2 linked regions of the Caenorhabditis elegans genome follow. The protein of the gene in region 1 interacts with the protein of each later gene in a pairwise test. Each region holds a gene or a part of one and is shown on either strand. Other genes may lie near its edges.

Region 1 (8,792 bases):
CAAATTCACCGGGCTCTAAGTTAATTGAAAATTCATATTTTGAGCTGAAAATTAGTAGATATCCTGAAAACCTTCCTTTCTTTCCAAATTATATAGATTTTCGAAAAAGTTTCCTAATTGTGAAATTGATGTGAGCCTTTAAACCTTGTGGTTACTGTAGTCGTCGTAAAAATTTAAATTTTAAGAAACCCTCAGTCATGATTAGACTCAAATGAAAGGTATTATTCTCCTATCTTCACAAATTTATATCACATGGCCGAGCATGCAAAACCTAGGCCATGAGATGAAAAAGTTAGGCCATGGGGGTTAAAAAAGTCAATTATGGGTTTTTTTTGCAAAAAAAAAGATAGCATAATTTTGCAGAATCTGTTTCCATAAGATTTACATCATTTCCGGAATTTTTACGCGGGACAAAAATTTGCAAAAAAGCGACAAAAAGTGGCAAAAATCGGGTGAACAAAATTTCCGGTTTCGACGCGGTATTCTCGTCATTTTGTCTCCTGATAAATCTCCCATGATAGTGATAAAAAGATAACAGAAAAATGTATTCAAGAATACAAAAAAAGGATAGAATGGTTAAGAAAATTCTGCGAAAGAAGAACGAAAAAAAAAGGAATTTCTGTATTTCGCACCACTTTATGAGTGGACACACATCGTTTATTGACAGTAAAGATCAGGGAAACAATTGAGTGGAGAGGTCTGGTGTTTTGACAGGCATAAAATAAGGAAAAGTAGAAGAAATTTCGATTAATTTAAGGTAAAAATGAGAGAAAAATCTTAAAAATTGACTGAAATATGGCAGTTTGAAAAAATTGAAAATTTATAAACGAAATTTTTTTTTCGAAATTTTTTTTCAAAACTCTAATTTGTCTAGAACTTCAAATTGTTTGCAGTTTGTTTAAACAAAATTTACAATAAAAGTAAATGAATGTACAAACAAAGACTATTTCGTAATTTTCAGTGGTTTTTGTGCTAAATTGAAGTTAAAAACTAGAATTTTTTAAATCTAGACATCTAGAGTAAAAAATTGTTTTTCGAAAATTCTGAACACGATAAAAAAAAAAAAATTGTAATATCTAAAAAATTGAATAAACTTTACTTTTCCGAAAATTTAAATTTTGAATTTTTTTTTGAATTTTTAACCTTTTTAACTTATAACTTTATATTTTCCAAAAAGCTGTAACATTTCAAACATTCTAATTTATGAGAAATTGTAATATAAGCTGTTGTGCTCATTTTAAGCTAAAAACCAGCATAATATCCTAAAAACTGCCAAAATTAGGGAATTTTGAAATGTGAGCAAAAATTTTATTCATCTTTAATTTTTACATTGCTGGTTTGAACTCAATATTTTTACAAAATACTCAAAATTCTTCAAAATTTGAAAAAAAAGTATCAAAAGTAGTAGTAGTAGTATGTCGTAGAAAAACGGATAGTCTATATAATGATTAGTTTGTCTTCCTATTCTCCGTGTTCTACAGGTACACGGGGACATCTTAATTAGAGATACACAGAGACCCCCCAGGCGAGAGATTATTGGAAAGTGAGAGAGGGTGGCAGAGAAAAAGACAGAAAGGGGGACAAAAGGGATATATGGTTCTCCCTGATCGGGCGGTTACGCAATCTGTCTGCGTCTCTTTTATCTGTGATCTCTCGTCTTGTTACCTATATACTTAAAACCAAATTACGCGGAAAACATCAGTGTAGGTAGGCTTTTTACCCTTTGTTGCCTGCCTACCTATGTGTCTACTTTGTGCCTATCTACTTTTTTGAATGCCTACCTATGTACCTATCTTGTGCCTACCTACCTATTACGGGACCATGAGATGAATGCCTATTTACTGGCGCGAAAATATTGACAGGCCGCGGCAGCGAGAGAGCATATGGCGAAGAGAGACGCCGGTCCCTTCGCTACGAGATATTTGCCGCCAGAAAAGTAGGCATTCTCATGATCTCATTGTCCCGTAATACCTACCTACTTGCCTTCGCGCCTACTTATAACCCATTTTGACTTACCGCATTGAAGCTCTAACTCAAGTGAATTACTGGAAAATAGATAATTCAGTGTTGACAGTTCTTGTAGGAAGGAAAGTCTTCATCACTGCCTGCCTGCCTACACGCTTGCCTATCAGTTTTTTAAAACCTACTAGGCAGTCAGGTAGTCAATCTTGTGCCTAGGCGTAAAACTGCTGTAACTCGGCTCAAAATCTTCATTTTCAAATAAAATAAAAAGTGAATGATTTCAAAAATTTTCAAAAACTTTCAAAATTGAGAAACAAAAATTTTGACCGCAGCGGGGGGTCGAACCCTGGTATGTTTTTCCGTAGCTGTGCACCTATTCTCCACTAAGCCACTTTGCCCAAAACAGTTTTTTCGTGGTTTTTCAGCGTAGAATTCGATTTTTTTTTTGGTTAGAAATAGTAACCTTTTGGATTCAGAAGCCTTGGCACATTCCATGTCTTTTCAGCGACAGCAAAAGCGTTTTCAATCCTGTCGATGGCACTCATTTCGGCGGTTTTTGTGAGGTTTATCAGTTTTCGGCTGAAAATGTTCAGGATTTCGGGCTCGAAACTATATTAACTGTGTTTGTCGCACTGAGAGCTTTCATTTGAGTATAATCATGATTAGTTTTGGAAAAAGTTGAATCCCGCCACGAAAATCACATGGGTACTGTAGTTTTCGCGGCGAGACCCTCTCTAAAATTCTTTTTGATGGGGTTCTCGAGTTCTACACGCCGAAACCTTTCAAATGACACCCATATTGCTATACTTTAAAATATTAAATTCCAGGGCCTATGTTTTCCAAATTTGAAGTCCCAGTGAGTTTTCTAGGCCATGTAGTGAAAAGTTAGGCCACCAGCTTGAACATTTCGGAGCCTAGGCATTATGGGTGTCAAATAGACTGTAATGAAATGTTGAATTTAAATTTGATATTGAATTAAAAAAAAATAAGATTAAAAGTTGTTTTGGAAAATTTAGAATTGAAAAAATCCAAAAAAATGTGTTTTTTTTTTGAAATTTTTGAATTTTTTTTCGAATAAAACCATGTTTCATGGAATCTAGAAACTCTTGAAAAACTGATTATCAATAAATTAATTTCTAATGAAAAACCCTTACTCATAAGAATGTATGAGGTAATTGAAGGCATGGCCGTCCCGGAAGGAAGATGTAAAGTCGTAGACGTCAATTTCTTCGTATGATTTCATGACTTCAATGCACCATTGTTTGATGGCTTCGGAGAGCTGAAATTTGAAAATTTAATAGAAAAAATTCTAGGAAAAAAATTTTAAAAAAAATTTTCGAAATTTTTTTTTTCAAAATTTTTTATTTATTTTTTAATTTTTCAAACCCCCGTAACTTTATCAATTTTAAAGATTTCCACTTGATTTTACACTCAAAAAACTCACCTTTTCCTCCCGTAACTGCACGGGTGCATTATTTTTCCAGAAAAACTGAACAAGCTGCCACCAGGCTGAGAGCACCGCTTTCTGCTGCCCTTCCATAACTTCCTGCGGATTCGTCTTGGAATCCCCGATATTTTGCAAAACATTAGGCCAATCGTCGGATGGATTACCCAGTACAGCCATAGTCTGTCCAATAATTGCTTGGTAGACAAAAATCGCGTTTGAACCATCTTGAAGGCTTTTGTAATCGGTTAGACGTTCTGTTCCGAGCAGGTGATTGGCCCAGCGCACGAATACCCACTCTTGGAGCTCATTTTTTGGGTCTGAAAATTTTATTCATAGCTTTTAACGTTCAAATTCAAATTTTCCGTCAAAAACTCTACAAATCGGTTTTTGAAAAATCGAAAAATATGAATTTTGAGCAGATTTACAGTTTGGTGGCCTAGTTTTAGATTTCTAGGCCAGCAAAATTTCTAGATCAGCATAAAATATGTTCAACAGAGTATTGGTGGCAACAGTTAGTTCTCTTCAAGAAGTTTGCTAGAAAAATGGCATTTGTTAACTAGTGGCCTAGAAATCCAAATTCAGGCCACCCAATTTGACTCGCTGGCCTAGGTTTGCTTTTTCTAGGCCACAAAAATAATTTTTCATTATTACAATGCTTTTCACTGACTTCTGCACGTTCATAGCTTTCACATGACACCAATATTGCCATACTTTGGAAATTTTATTCCATGGCCTAACTTTTCAGTTGGTGGCCTAGAATTTTTACTTTTTTAGAAATTGCTAAATTTTATGAAATTAAATTTTAAGAAGCACACAATATTACTGTTTCACTTTAAAATTCTACAAATTTTATCTTACTGGCAAAATTTAAAATTGGTCGCCTAGAAATTCCTCGGCCACCAACAACTTAAAACTCCCAGAACCTATTTGAAATTCAATTTTTGAATTTTTGAATACTCCTAACAAGGAATAAAAACTAAGAACATTTCAAAAATCTGAGCGTCTAAAGTCCAGGCCCAAATGCATTTTCTCGGTCACGGCTTGAAAAGTTAGGCCACCAACTCAAAATAGTCGGATCCTAGGCATGATGGCTGTCAAATTGAAGGTCTCGGTAAGACAGAAACAAATATAAAATAAATGTATGCTGAAAACTATGTTGGTGGCCTGGAAAATCAAAAAAGGTAAATTTCTATGCCATTTTTCGGGGATTTTTCTTTTTTTTTTTGTCTTAAAAATTTTTCAAAAAACTCACCGCGATCACTTTTCTTGTCCTTTTTCTCGTCTTTTTTCGGTTTCGCAGTCGAGGCGCCCGAGAATAACATGGTGTTGTTGCACTTTTTCGTTCGTTTTCGCCTATTCTATACACCAATTGGCATCTGAAATTGGGATTTTTATTAGAAAAAAAAATTAAGTTGTAGAATATAAAATTATTTTTAAAAAACGTGGGGTTATTCTAGAAGTTTTCCAAAAAATAAAAGTTACGAAAAAAGAACGAAATTTTCTGGAAAATTTTTTATTTCTAAAAAAAAATTCAAAGAATTCAAAGAAAAAAATATTGCTAAAAATGAGTAACAGTGACAAAAGTGTAAGTTTTTCTATTTTAGTTTTTCTAATTTCAAAAAATTTAGAAAATTTGAAGAAAAATTTAAAAACGAAATATTGGTGGCCTAGTTTTAGTTTTCTAGGCGACCAATTCGAGTTTTTCAAGTAGATTTTTGTGAAGAGCTAATTGTGAGTAAACCCTTTAATTTGACAATATATTGATTTAAAATTTAAAGTTGGTGGCCTAGAAAAACATAGGCCACCAACGAAAAAAAAACCAAAATGGGTGAAGCTCTATTCATGTTAAATTTAACGTGACACATCAACATTTAAAAAAAAATCAAGCTGATTTTAGTGGCCTAGAGAACCAATCCTAGGCCAGCAACACAAGAAAATTTGAATTTCTAGGCCACCGAAGCCAGTTCTGCGAAGACAATTTGGACGCATTGTGCGAACGACGGGTCGGACAGAAGCATTTTATCCGATTGGATGGATCACAGTTTTGGAGCAGAAAAAGAGCACAATTTGGAGCATGATTTGACGGAATTTGCGCAAATTCCTTTTCGTTGTGCAAATGACTATGAGATTTGTGCGAAACAATCGGAATATGCATTTGATATCTCTAATTATTGATTTTTTCAAAATAAAAATTTTGAAGGAAAATACAAAAATTCAACAAAAAATATGGCTTGAAAAAACTGAAAATGATAATTTTCAGCCAAGTTAGAGCCTTGTGAAGTTGATAGTCTAGAAATTTTCTAGGCCACCAACTTCAAATTTCTCTAATTTGGCTCAATCATCTTGGGTCTAACAAAAACTTTTTTAAAATCATTTCAATAAAAAGGGATATATTTTTAAAAAAAGCATGTGGCCTAAACTTTTTCATGGACAAAGTTCTAGGCCACGAAATCGAAAAGTTAGGCCATGAAAAAGATGAGGCAAAATATGAGTGTGACTACTGAAAGTTTGGAACGTGTGTGAAATTCATCGGAAAAGTTGAAAGAAAAATTGGTGGCCTAGAACATCAAAACTAGGCCAGCAACTGAAATTGTGTGGCCTAACCAAATCTTTCAATTAAACATTCCAGAAAATCCTAGGCCATCTAATTCAAATTCGCAAAAAATGTTTTAATTTTAAGTTAAAAGAAAGCAACTTGAATTTTCGAAATTCTAAGCCACCATACCAAAAATGTCAAGCTTTTAAATTCAAGTTCGGCTGCCTAGAAAACAAAAACTAGGCCATCAAATATATTTTTAACAGACTTGGAAGCAATTTTTAACCTCAAAAACACAAAAAAATAATAACGGCACGTCTACCACACTCTCGTAGGAAATAGTAATGGAAAAGTGTGTGTGTGTGCTCCCGGAGCATTCCCGTGTGTGCACGAGGGGACCCCTCAATCCGTCAGCTGCCGTCGTCAGTCAATTGTTACAATGCACCATCCTCTTGGACATACCCCAACGGCATTTGATGATGATTCGGACATTTCCTGGGAGCTGCTACTTTTGCTGATGTGCTCCGCGAGCTCTACTATCAAAATTTTAGAGGGGACATTTGAGAATTGGGTTGTTAAATGGAACGGGTGGACAGTTGGTTTTTGAGAATTCCCAAACTTTTTTAAAAATAAAAATAAATTTCGAATGAAAAGCGGCTTTATAAATTTCCGAATTTTTCCGAAATTAGCTTCTCATTCGGAAAATCTCCCAAATAATGTTTAAAACTACTATATTCTAAAAAAGGGCAATGTTTTAAATGTTTTTGAGTAAATTTTGTATTTTTGAGTCGTCTAACTACAAAATTTACCATTTTAGAGGAGTTTCAAAATTGTGAATTTTTACAAAAAATTGTCAATTTTTGCCACTTTTCAATAGTTTTTGATGGGTTATATGTACCTAGATTTTCTGAATTCAGCATACATAAACTTACAGTTGTGCCAATATAATTATACAAATTATGTCCCAGCCGAGTTGTGGTGCACTGATCCTCCTACCGTGTTCCGATTTTGGACAACACTGCTGAGAGTACCTATGATCTGATTTTTACCAAATATTTTTCCATGTAAGATCGCCAGATCAGCCAGGAGACGACGGAGCTCCAGGAAAGGCCGGAGACAACAGTCACGACGGAATCCCATCCCCAATTGACGCCTATGCCCAACACGACTGCATCAAGTGCCCAGCAGGAGCCCCAGGGCCAGCTGGACCAGACGGAGAGGCTGGAGCCCCAGGAGAAGACGGACCAGCTGGAAACGACGGTGCCGCAGGTGAAGCCGGAGCCCCGGGATCCGATGGAAAGAATGGACAACGCGGACAGGGAGCTCCAGGACCACAGGGACCAGAAGGACCAGCCGGGGCTGCAGGACAAGACGGAGCACCAGGAAAAGACGGAGAGACCGGACCAGATGGAGCCGCTGGAGAGGCCGGAGGTGAAGGAGCACCAGGACCAGACGCTGCTTACTGCCCATGCCCACCAAGAACCGTCGGATACGGAGAGGGTGACCAGCCACAGGCTGAGCAATCCGGATACAGAAGACGTGCTGCTAGACGGCTCTAGATGCTCGGAGTTTTTTGTCTGAAAATTTCTTGAAATAAACACAATTTTCCATCCTTTTTATAAGTCCTTTATTAAACTCGATTCAACAAAAAATCATTAGCCCTTGCGCAATAGTTATCAGTGTCACAAGTTGATGTTTCACAGACATAATTCGCATAGAAATTTGATGGAACATTGATCCATCCATCCGTTACATAGGTCACCCCCTCGAGCATCTCGAGCATAGGTGAGCACCTCGGAAAATCCGGAGCCCAAATTTGCCATCCCTGTAGTTGCACTTGTTCTTCTCCGCTAGCCTGATCCCATTTCCAAAGTGAGCAGTTTCCATTGAGCCCGATATGATATTTATAAGTAGGTTGGAATTCCTTATAAGTCTTCAAAATCGCCATCACAAAATCGTGTTTTTCTCTGCTGTACTCATTGACCAAGTGACCATTGTTTCCCTTATGATGGCATGATGCTTGAGCAATGCTCCATGAAGCTGGCAAAGTGACTGGTTGAATGCAGGTACCTTTTGGCTGGTATTGGTGCCAGCTGTTCGGACAGAAACAGTTTGCTGAAAAAGACAAAAGTTATCAACTGAATTTGAATGGTTAAGAACGTGCTGACGTCACAATTTTTATAGAAAAATATTCCCGCATTTTTTGTAGATCAAACTTAAGCCTGACAAAATGTCCTCCTCACCTTTCAACAAAGAGTCTTGAATTTTTTCGATCAACCCCGGATCGTCATTTGTAAAATTAAACTCTTTCGTTGCGATTCCTCCGAGTTTTTCCAAAAGTTGTGTGTCATGGCTTTGCGAATAGGCAACAGTTATGATAATACCACCACTTGATAGAAACCGCGCCGCAACTGGTTTCGGATCATTCGCTCCATCATCTCTGTAAGTATCGGTGTCAGTGGAACGAGATTTTCAGGCAAAAAACGCCAAATTGCCGGAATTGAAAGCTTCTGGTAAAACGGTAAACCGGGAAATTGCCGGAACTGAAAAGTTTCGGCAAGTCGGCTAACTGGCAAATTGCTGGAATTGAAAACTTTCGGCAAATCACCGAATCGCCGGAATTTAAAACTTCCGGAAAATCGGCCAACTGGCAAATTGCCGGAATTGAAAAGTTTCGGCAAATCACCGAATTGCCGGAATTGAAAACTTCCGGAAAATCGGCCAACTGGCAAATTGCCGGAATTGAAAAGTTTCGGCAAATCGGTAAATTGCCAGAATTGAAATTTTCGGCTAATCGGTAAATTGCCGGAAATTGAAACTTCCGGCAAATCAGTAATTTGCAGGAAT
Region 2 (8,663 bases), on another chromosome or scaffold:
TGTTTCTTAATCGATTGTGAATTAATGCATACATTTTAATCTGAAAGTTTCCAGGTTCCTTATATGGTAATTGCTGGAAATCACGAAGACGATTATCAAAACTTTACTAACTATCAAAAACGATTCTCAGTTCCGGACAATGGTCACAACGATAACCAGTTCTATAGTTTTGATCTTGGACCAGTACATTGGGTTGGTGTGAGTACTGAAACCTATGGATACTATTATGAATATGGAATGGATCCCGTAATGACACAATATGATTGGTTGAAAAGGGATTTGACTGTAAGTTATATGGAATTATTTTTGGAGTAAAGAAAATTATCAATTTGAAATCATTATCAATTTTATTTTTAAAATTATCAATTTTAATATCATCAGGCAGATGAGAAGTGTCAGTGTATTTCAAATACTATAATTTTCAATTTTCCCAGACAGCAAATTCAAATCGTGCAGCGCATCCATGGATCTTTACCTTCCAACATCGACCATTCTACTGTAGTAATGTGAACTCCGCTGAATGTCAATCGTTTGAAAATCGATTGGTGTGATGGAGTAAATTGTTTAATTTGGCTAATATGTCTGGTATTTAGGTTCGTACCGGTTGGCTGGATATGCCAGGATTAGAACCACTCTTTTTACAAACTTCCGTTGATTTTGGCTTCTGGGGGCATGAGCACTCGTATGAAAGATTCTACCCAGTTGCAGATAGAGCTTATTGGAATGATGTAAGTTTAACCAAAATTCAAAAACTTGATTATTAAAATTTATAGCCAAATGCTTACATTAACCCAAAAGCTCCAGTTTATTTGATTAGTGGATCAGCAGGTTGTCATACTCCAGATGCACTTTTCACTGATAAACCATGGCCATGGAGTGCTGCAAGAAATAATGATTATGGATGGTCTATTGTGACAGTTGCAAATAGAACACATATTAGAGTTGAACAAATTTCAATTGATAAAAATGAGCAGACTGTTGATGACTTTTGGGTTATTAAAGATGAAGGCCATATGCATTCTGGTGAGATGAGGTTAGTAGAGTTGGCTTTGAAAAAAGTTCCAAAAATTACTGTTTGTAGAAGAGCAAATCCAGGAGCAAAGTTTCCACTTCAAAAATGCCATTTCAAGGATGTCGCCTGTAAACGATCATTGAAGGAAATTAACGAAGAACTTTAAATTTTGTAAATAAATTAAAAATAAGAGCTTGTATAAAATATCTCTATTCATTTTTATGATTTTCGAAAAAAAAATAAAAGGCAGAGTAGAGTTTGTGGGAAATATGTAGCAAAAAATAAAAATAAACTTTATCAAAAATTTCAAGTTGTCAAATGCCAGTATATTTGAAACTTAAATTTTCGTTGCCGAGGTTATTCAGGTCCAGCAAAGTTTGGTATTTTGGGAGGTTCCCGAATGCGGCAAATTTGATTGGCCGTGGTGATGGCGTCAGTGTTCAAAATAGAAATTTCATATTTGTATGTGGTTTCCTAGATTTCTTCTTTTTGATTGCATGCATTGACGTATTTGTGAGAGCAGTTCCGTGGGAGTTTCTAGACAATAATATCAAGCTGTTGAATTGAATTTTGCAAATATGATATACATTAAAAATTTGAAACTTGCACACTCCAGACTGAACAGATTAAAATTAATGATGTGAGTTTCAGGTACAATAGGTATTTTCTATTTAAGAAATTATGAAACCGTACGCGGTAATACAACATATGAGTCAGAATAACTTCCATAGAGGGCGCGTCATTAACAATTTTGATTTTTTCTTCTTTTTCCAGATTTATACTCTAATTTTTCAAATACTTACGTCATCATAACTTTAATTTGATATATAAATACAATGCGTTGTATGTATATAGTCAGAAATATACATTTTGTGAACATATAACTAGAGAAAGATAGAATGGAATACAAGTGTAGAATATGGACTATACTTCAGATATTTTTTTTAACTTATAGATTTTGTTTAATTTACAGTTTTTGTCCAAAAATGACAATTTCCTCTTTTGATTGCATTTAGATATAATTTGCAGGGATCTAAACAAATTGGATCAAATAATATAAAAGTTTGATCAACAATTCTGACTAATCTAAACGTCTAGTTGGAAAGCTTCATTGGAAATATTTGGCAGATGTTTTAGACTTTTCAGGTTGGCACCGTTTATTTACAGGTGCCAATAAAAAGTGGCGTTTTCATGTTCTAATCTACGATATACGATATACGATACTCGTTTTGATTTGAATTATTAAAAAAATTCATATCAAGCATCAAAATTTAACAAGTTCCTTCGGGAGGATTAACCATCTCGTCTCAAATTTTTCATATACTGACTCACAGAAATTAATCTTGTAAAATCTAACCCAACTGCTTGTGAATTAATCTAATCTCTAAAGATACCTTCTGAATTCGTCAACCTTTTTCCTCCAATTTCTTCCATTGAGACGACGACATCTAATCTCGTTTTCTTTCTCACGAGCCACATTGATTTATGTGATAGAGTGAGCCCACTGGGGTGCTATGCTTTTTCACTTTTTTCTTTTCAGCTCACACTCCGTTCTACGTCTCTCATGTCAATTTTCAAACCATATCATTAAATATTTATTGACTTTATAAAACATGTCATTTGCTTATAGAAACATTTTATTCTAAAGTGTGATTGGAATGAAAATTTGAAGCAGTGACTGCAAAATATGTATCTTCGCAAAGGAGAACTACCGTATACAGATAATCCCTTACAAAATTTTGTATTTAAATATGGGCGGAATGGAAGAACTATATACCCGATATTTTAGATTTTAGATTTTTAAACTCAAATCTCTGCAATTAATACTAACTGAACGAATTCTGATATTGCTTATGATATTGCTTAAATACACATATGTATTTGAGCACAGATTTTAGCAGTACGTTCAACAATGGTGTTCAAAAATAACTCAATTGTATGGTATCTTTCTGAAGCTTAGTAAAAATAATTTCAAACTGAGATCAGCTGTCAGTGAAGCTGAATTCGTCATTAATTTCTAGGTTTGTTGGCCACTTGGCTTGAATTTAAATTTTAATTATAATAGGAATTCAATTAAGAAGCGATAATTGGTGGTTTGCAGCAGGGGTGTGCGGCAAATTTGCCGAATTTGCCGAATTTGCCGTTTGCCGAGCTCGGCAAATTTGCCGAATTTGCCGTGCTCGGCAAATATTGAAAAAAGAGATTTGCCGAATTTGCCGAGCTCCGCAAATTTTGAGATTTGCCGCACACCCCTGGTTTGCAGTTAAAGCAAATTTATACAACTAGACAAACTCAGAAAACTTGCACGCGTTCATAATCATAACCAAACTTGGGGAAGTTTTTTTTGTCCAAGAATAAACATGAAAGGAGGGAAACTGTACTTGTCGCGTTATTGAAAAAATTTGTAACTTTTACAAATATTTTTGATAAACTAAGTTTGAAAAAGACTAAAAAATATTCACTTTTAAGACATTAGTATTCTTGCAGTCATTCATGTATGAAATGACATGGAAAAATATTTCGTGGTTTGATTTTTCATACGTATGTTGACTAAGTTTGGATTGTATGTAATCTTGAAACGAATAATATTTTCTGATCCAACCGATCTCTTTTTACACACTTCCCAATTCAACTAAAGTTTCTGAAAAAACCAAAAGCGGTAGTGGTTTTTATTTCCTCAAAGTACGTGGATTTCATCCAATCGACCAGGTATTATATTCCTTGGCTTACTGACTGACTCTCTTTCTTTTATTTTTCTGCTCTTTTCCATTTGTATGAAAAATATATCCGCGACGATGAAAGGAAGGAAATCGGGTGGAATTGCGTTCCTATTCATCTTTTTTCAGGCACTTCTTCGTTTTTCTTTTTCATCAGAATTCGTTTTTTTTTTGTTAAAAAAAAATAAATTATTGTAATAGAATGAATGCCAATTTTCAGCTTTATCAGTTTAGGAAATGTGGTGAGCAATTGCAATGGGTTGCAACTTTTCTTCTCAAAGTAAGGTAAGCTTTTTGGATTTTAGTAATTTAACTTTTTTTGTTTTTTTTTGTTGTTGTCAAAACTTAATTGGTTCAGGTGTCTGATGTTCCGGCTGCTTGTGACAAACCAATACCGGAACCTGATGTGATAGGAAAAGAAGAGAACATTGAGCCAATTGAGCATTCAGCGGAAAAAGAAGTTGTTGAAAAAAAGGAATCTACACCTGTTCCACCACCATCTATTTCTCCACAAGTTGCGGTATGTATTTTGAAGCAATTATAGGAGGCCACCGTTATTATAATCAATTTTTTGAGATCACCTCAATTCAATTCATGTCTATTTTCAGCTCCAAGTTCCCGAAATTCGTGCATCTCGTTCAATTACTCCCGCTTCTCAGAAATCGGAAGATCCATACAGCCATATTAGACTACTTCTTCTCGGTAAATTTGTATTCATTTTCAATTCCATTTTAATCCAATTCTATTCATTTCAGGATCCGCAGAAAGCGGAAAAACAACCGTTTTGGAGCAAGTCCGGTTGCTCTATAAACAACATTTCACAGAGTCTGAATATTTTCATCGACGTGCATTCATCTATCACAATATTTTCAAAAGTATCAAAGCGTTATGTCGTGCCATGAGAATGTCCGATATTCAATTTGCAGACCCAATCAATATGGTATTATTATTTTAAAAAGAATTTGGAATTAAATTTATATTCAGTATTATTCTACTTTGACAGATCATATCTCAGTTGGATTTTGTTTTAACAAAAAATTGTGAACTGACATAATACCTGAAAAATATTTTTCTACATTTTCACAGTAATTTTTTTGTGGATAAGACTTAAAACAACCAAGATATGAGCCGTTAAAGTAAAACAAAGGAGGGCGCAAATATAATAGGAAAAATACGGTACATCGAAGCTTTTTTTTTCGTAAATTGGTAAATAAGTTGGTCTTCGTGACCGTTTATCAATTTCTAAAAATGAGGGAACTTGAACTATAATATTGAAACCTAAAAGAAATTACGAAAAACTCATCTATATATTTGCAGGGTCGTGCTCAATCCATAATAGCTGATGAACATGGTCATTATGGTTTATTCTCAAAAGATTTGGCTGAAAAGATAAAACACATTTGGAATGACAAATCTATGCAAAAACTTTACGCTCGACGGAGTCAATTTAATTTGAATGATTCAGCATCTTAGTGAGTTGCATTTCCCTGTCTTTCGAATTCAGAACATTTATGATCATAAGAGCAAAATTTTGCGCTTTTCACAAGTGCAAGAATAATTTCCAGACTTTTTGAAACTAATCCTTTTCATCCAGAAGATTACCATTTTTAATTGCAGTTTTCTTAACAATATCGATAAGATAAATATGGTGGATTATAAGCCGTCTGAAAGAGATCTCATCATGGCTTATGTTCCAACTTGTGGTGTTCAAAATGTCATATTTACTGCTTGTAATCAATCTTTTCAGTGAGTCACATTTTCCTTTGAGGAATTGAAGCGGAAATCAAAAAAAAAGTTACAGATTATTTGATATTGGTGGACAGAAAATTGATAGACGGAAGTGGGCTTTACAATATGAAGGGATTGATGCAATATTCTTTTGCATCGCAATTTCTGAATATGATCAAGTGATGAGCGAGGATATGGTTACGGTAATTTCAAACTTCGTAAGAGGAATCTATAAATTATTAATTTTAGAATCGATTAGATGACGCTCTGAATTTGTTGCAATCAATCAGTGAAGACCCAGCGTTTGCAACAACTCCAATCTATTTGTTTTTGAATGAAATTGATGTTTTCTGTGAAAAACTCAGCGTCATTCCATTATCAAAGTATAAACCGGATTTTAAAGGTAAGGATATTACGGAGAGTCTCATATAAAATTGGTGTTGAAATCAAGTTAAATTATTTATATAAGTGCCTTACCTTCTGTTTCAGGTGGTGATCAAGATGATGCAATAGACTTTATGGAAAATCTTGCATGCGAAGCTCTTGGTAAACGTGACAGGTCCCTATACCGTGTCTATCGATGTATTGCAATTGACACACAAATGATGGCCGAATTGTTATCAACTGTGTTTAAAGATATTGCAAAAAGAAAGAAATAACTACTGTTTGTATAATATTTAATTTATATTTTTAATTGAAATCCAATCAATTCATCACATGTAATTTTATTTAATTCCCACACTTGTCAACACTTATGTTGTCACCCAATAAACGAAAGGAAAACGTTGCAAAAAAGTGAAAGAGAAAGATTTATTCTTTGGTTTTTCACAGTGTTTCTTGAAAAAAGAAAGACGATTGATTAGATATGCTAATAACATACCGGTCTAAATCTTAATATCTCTCTGCGCCTTTTAATTATACACACTTTGTAAATGCCGATGGTATCTTCTTTAACATTAAGTTTATTTAAGTGAAAATTATTTTTGCTAAAAAGAAATCAGCAGTTCCTAGTATTGCGAATAATGATATCATTAACTTCTATTGTCATTCTTTTTTTCACTGAAGCTGTAGTGCCAGTAGAAAAGAAACCAAGAAGAATGAATGCTGCTGCTGCTTCACCAAAACTATCTACTTGTCAGGTATGAAAAATCCAATAATGTGTAACATTGAAAAAATAGAAATATTAGAACTCATAACAAGAACATTTCTTCAAAACTTTTAAAAAACTTCACAGAATCCTGTTTTATCAGTTAAATTGTAGCTCAGGTGTAATGCGAATTAGTTGTTTGAAAATTATGAAAAATACTTTTTGGAAAATTTAGCTAGCTCTTTGTATTGAAGGACAAAACAGTTTCGGAAAAAAAGTCATTTTTGGAACTGTACATCTTGGATACATAATTTCAAAAAATAATTTCAGTGGGTTTTCGGTAATGGAACCATTGCCTCAATGCCAAAAAAATGGACTCCAGTCTATGCTCTTTCTTCACAATCTTCAACCTCATCATCTAGTCAAACATCATCATAAATCTTTTCCCTTTTACCAAATTATCTCCAGATGTGTTCTACCACATTTTTTCCCGTCCTCCATTTATTTTCATTTTTCAACTTTCCTTTCTTTTCTCATTGCCAGCTGCTTCTCTGTTTCTTCATCACGAACATGTTTTTGTCACTTATCACTTATCACCCTGTCTGATTATCAATCAAGGCTCTAAAGTCTCTTTAAATTGCTCAATATCTTGTGGTCTGATGCTGAGTTTCATTTTTTAGCGACCTCGGTTTTGGATCCAATTGTTTTCAAAATAAATTTTTTTCACACCTAAACCCAGCTTTTGTTTTTATTAAAAATAGTTTCAAAAAGAAAAACATAAAGTTATTATACAGAGAAAAATCTTGAGAATGTTGTATTTCGAGGATGCACTTTGGATTCGCGAAAATTTCTGGAAAGACGCAATTGGAACTTTATATTTTGCACTTGGTAAGATTTAGTTCTAATCTTCTTCTAGTAATAATTTAAATTATTTCAGGATTTAGTGGTATTGCCTTTCACCTTATAATAATATCGATACTACCTGAAATCTCTAATTTTATTTCACATCCTGCTGTTCTGATATTATCATCTCAATTTACTGCTTCTCTTATACAATTATTTGTAGTTTTTGTGCCAGTTCCAGCAATGATAGGTTAGTTTTGCATCCTAAAATGTTCAACTCTGTTAAACTTTCTAGCGGTGAACCAGCCATACTTTGTCAACCCAGTTATGATAAATGTTCCTGCTTTTCTACTTATTTTATCACAATGTTTTGCTTTTGTTTTGGTGATAATTATTGGATTCTACCGTAGTCTGAGAATTGTTTCGAGCAAAGCTGGGTAAGAGAAAACAAAGGTTTTGCAATGACTGAAATTTTGTTCCAGAAAATTAATATTCCCGGACAAGGTTATTTATGTGATTATCATTGGTGTATTTTGCTTCTCATTTTTCTTCACAGTAAATATATGTGCACATACCACGTAAGTTAATTCAAGAAATTTCAAAGTTTAAGATATGTTCATTAAAGATGGAGAGCATCTACTTTTGATATTTTATTTTGCGCCTTTTTATATTCAGCGCTTTTTTGTTCATTGGGCAATTTTTGAGAAAAATTCAAAAAGTCTCACTGCGTAGTATTTTGGGGTCATTCGTGGTTTTTATGGATTTTTGTCATCAAAATGTTATAGCACTCATTAAATTGTGTGATTGAGAAATTTTTTTTTTTTCTAAATGTTCAATCTTTCACATAGAATCACCAGATTTTTCAAAGGTTGTTACATGATCCCATAAATGTACAATTATTATACTAGCGAAAGTTTATTTCCATTTTCCATTTTCAGAATTCGTCGTTTCAATCCATCAGAATTAAATTGGAAATTACAATATTTTGAAGTGATATCATTTATCTACCTAGTCGCTTTTATCATTGTTCCAACTACACTTTTTTCACTTATTGCATTATCTTTTTTGATTTACAAAAAGCTTTTCCAAAAACCACACACCTCAGAGGACGGAGAAGATGAAGATGAAACTGATGCACCTCGGGAAACAATTTGCTCCCTATTTTTCTATATCATATTTGATTTATTCTTTTGTTTTTGGATCTGTATGAGCTTCTTATCATCAGTTCCATTTTTATCATTGTCACACGTGTTTTTGACAGCTTACTGGCCATTAA

What was found.
Region 2: the proteins of dys-1 (region 1) and gpa-13 interact in a two-hybrid assay, tested with the Caenorhabditis elegans proteins (one large-scale study listed by BioGRID).

Annotation. Positions count from the first base shown.
Region 1 is NC_003279.8:11,553,062-11,561,853, forward strand, and holds the start of dys-1 (Dystrophin-1), read right to left. Parts: upstream 4,791-8,792; 5' UTR 4,732-4,790; coding exon 4,662-4,731; intron 3,727-4,661; coding exon 3,407-3,726; intron 3,242-3,406; coding exon 3,117-3,241; intron 2,542-3,116; coding exon 2,426-2,541; intron 1-2,425. Other genes in the region: F15D3.9 (SAM-dependent methyltransferase), read left to right, coding at 4,974-4,994, 5,360-5,584; clec-101 (VWFA domain-containing protein), read right to left, coding at 7,576-8,060, 8,189-8,385. UniProt on the Caenorhabditis elegans protein: Plays a role in cholinergic transmission and as a functional partner of dystrobrevin (dyb-1), necessary for muscle maintenance. Required for neuronal positioning. May play a role in the localization of slo-1 near dense bodies in the muscle.
Region 2 is NC_003283.11:12,750,215-12,758,877, reverse strand, and holds gpa-13 (Guanine nucleotide-binding protein alpha-13 subunit), read left to right. Parts: upstream 1-3,938; 5' UTR 3,939-3,984; coding exon 3,985-4,014; intron 4,015-4,087; coding exon 4,088-4,249; intron 4,250-4,337; coding exon 4,338-4,431; intron 4,432-4,484; coding exon 4,485-4,669; intron 4,670-5,046; coding exon 5,047-5,201; intron 5,202-5,346; coding exon 5,347-5,475; intron 5,476-5,530; coding exon 5,531-5,660; intron 5,661-5,706; coding exon 5,707-5,860; intron 5,861-5,946; coding exon 5,947-6,116; 3' UTR 6,117-6,275; downstream 6,276-8,663. Other genes in the region: papl-1 (Purple acid phosphatase), read left to right, coding at 55-285, 435-545, 594-728, 774-1,033, 1,082-1,178; C15C8.8 (uncharacterized protein), read left to right, coding at 6,480-6,596, 6,875-6,982; C15C8.6 (Serpentine Receptor, class Z), read left to right, coding at 7,354-7,432, 7,482-7,637, 7,683-7,824, 7,870-7,965, 8,326-8,663. UniProt on the Caenorhabditis elegans protein: Guanine nucleotide-binding proteins (G proteins) are involved as modulators or transducers in various transmembrane signaling systems.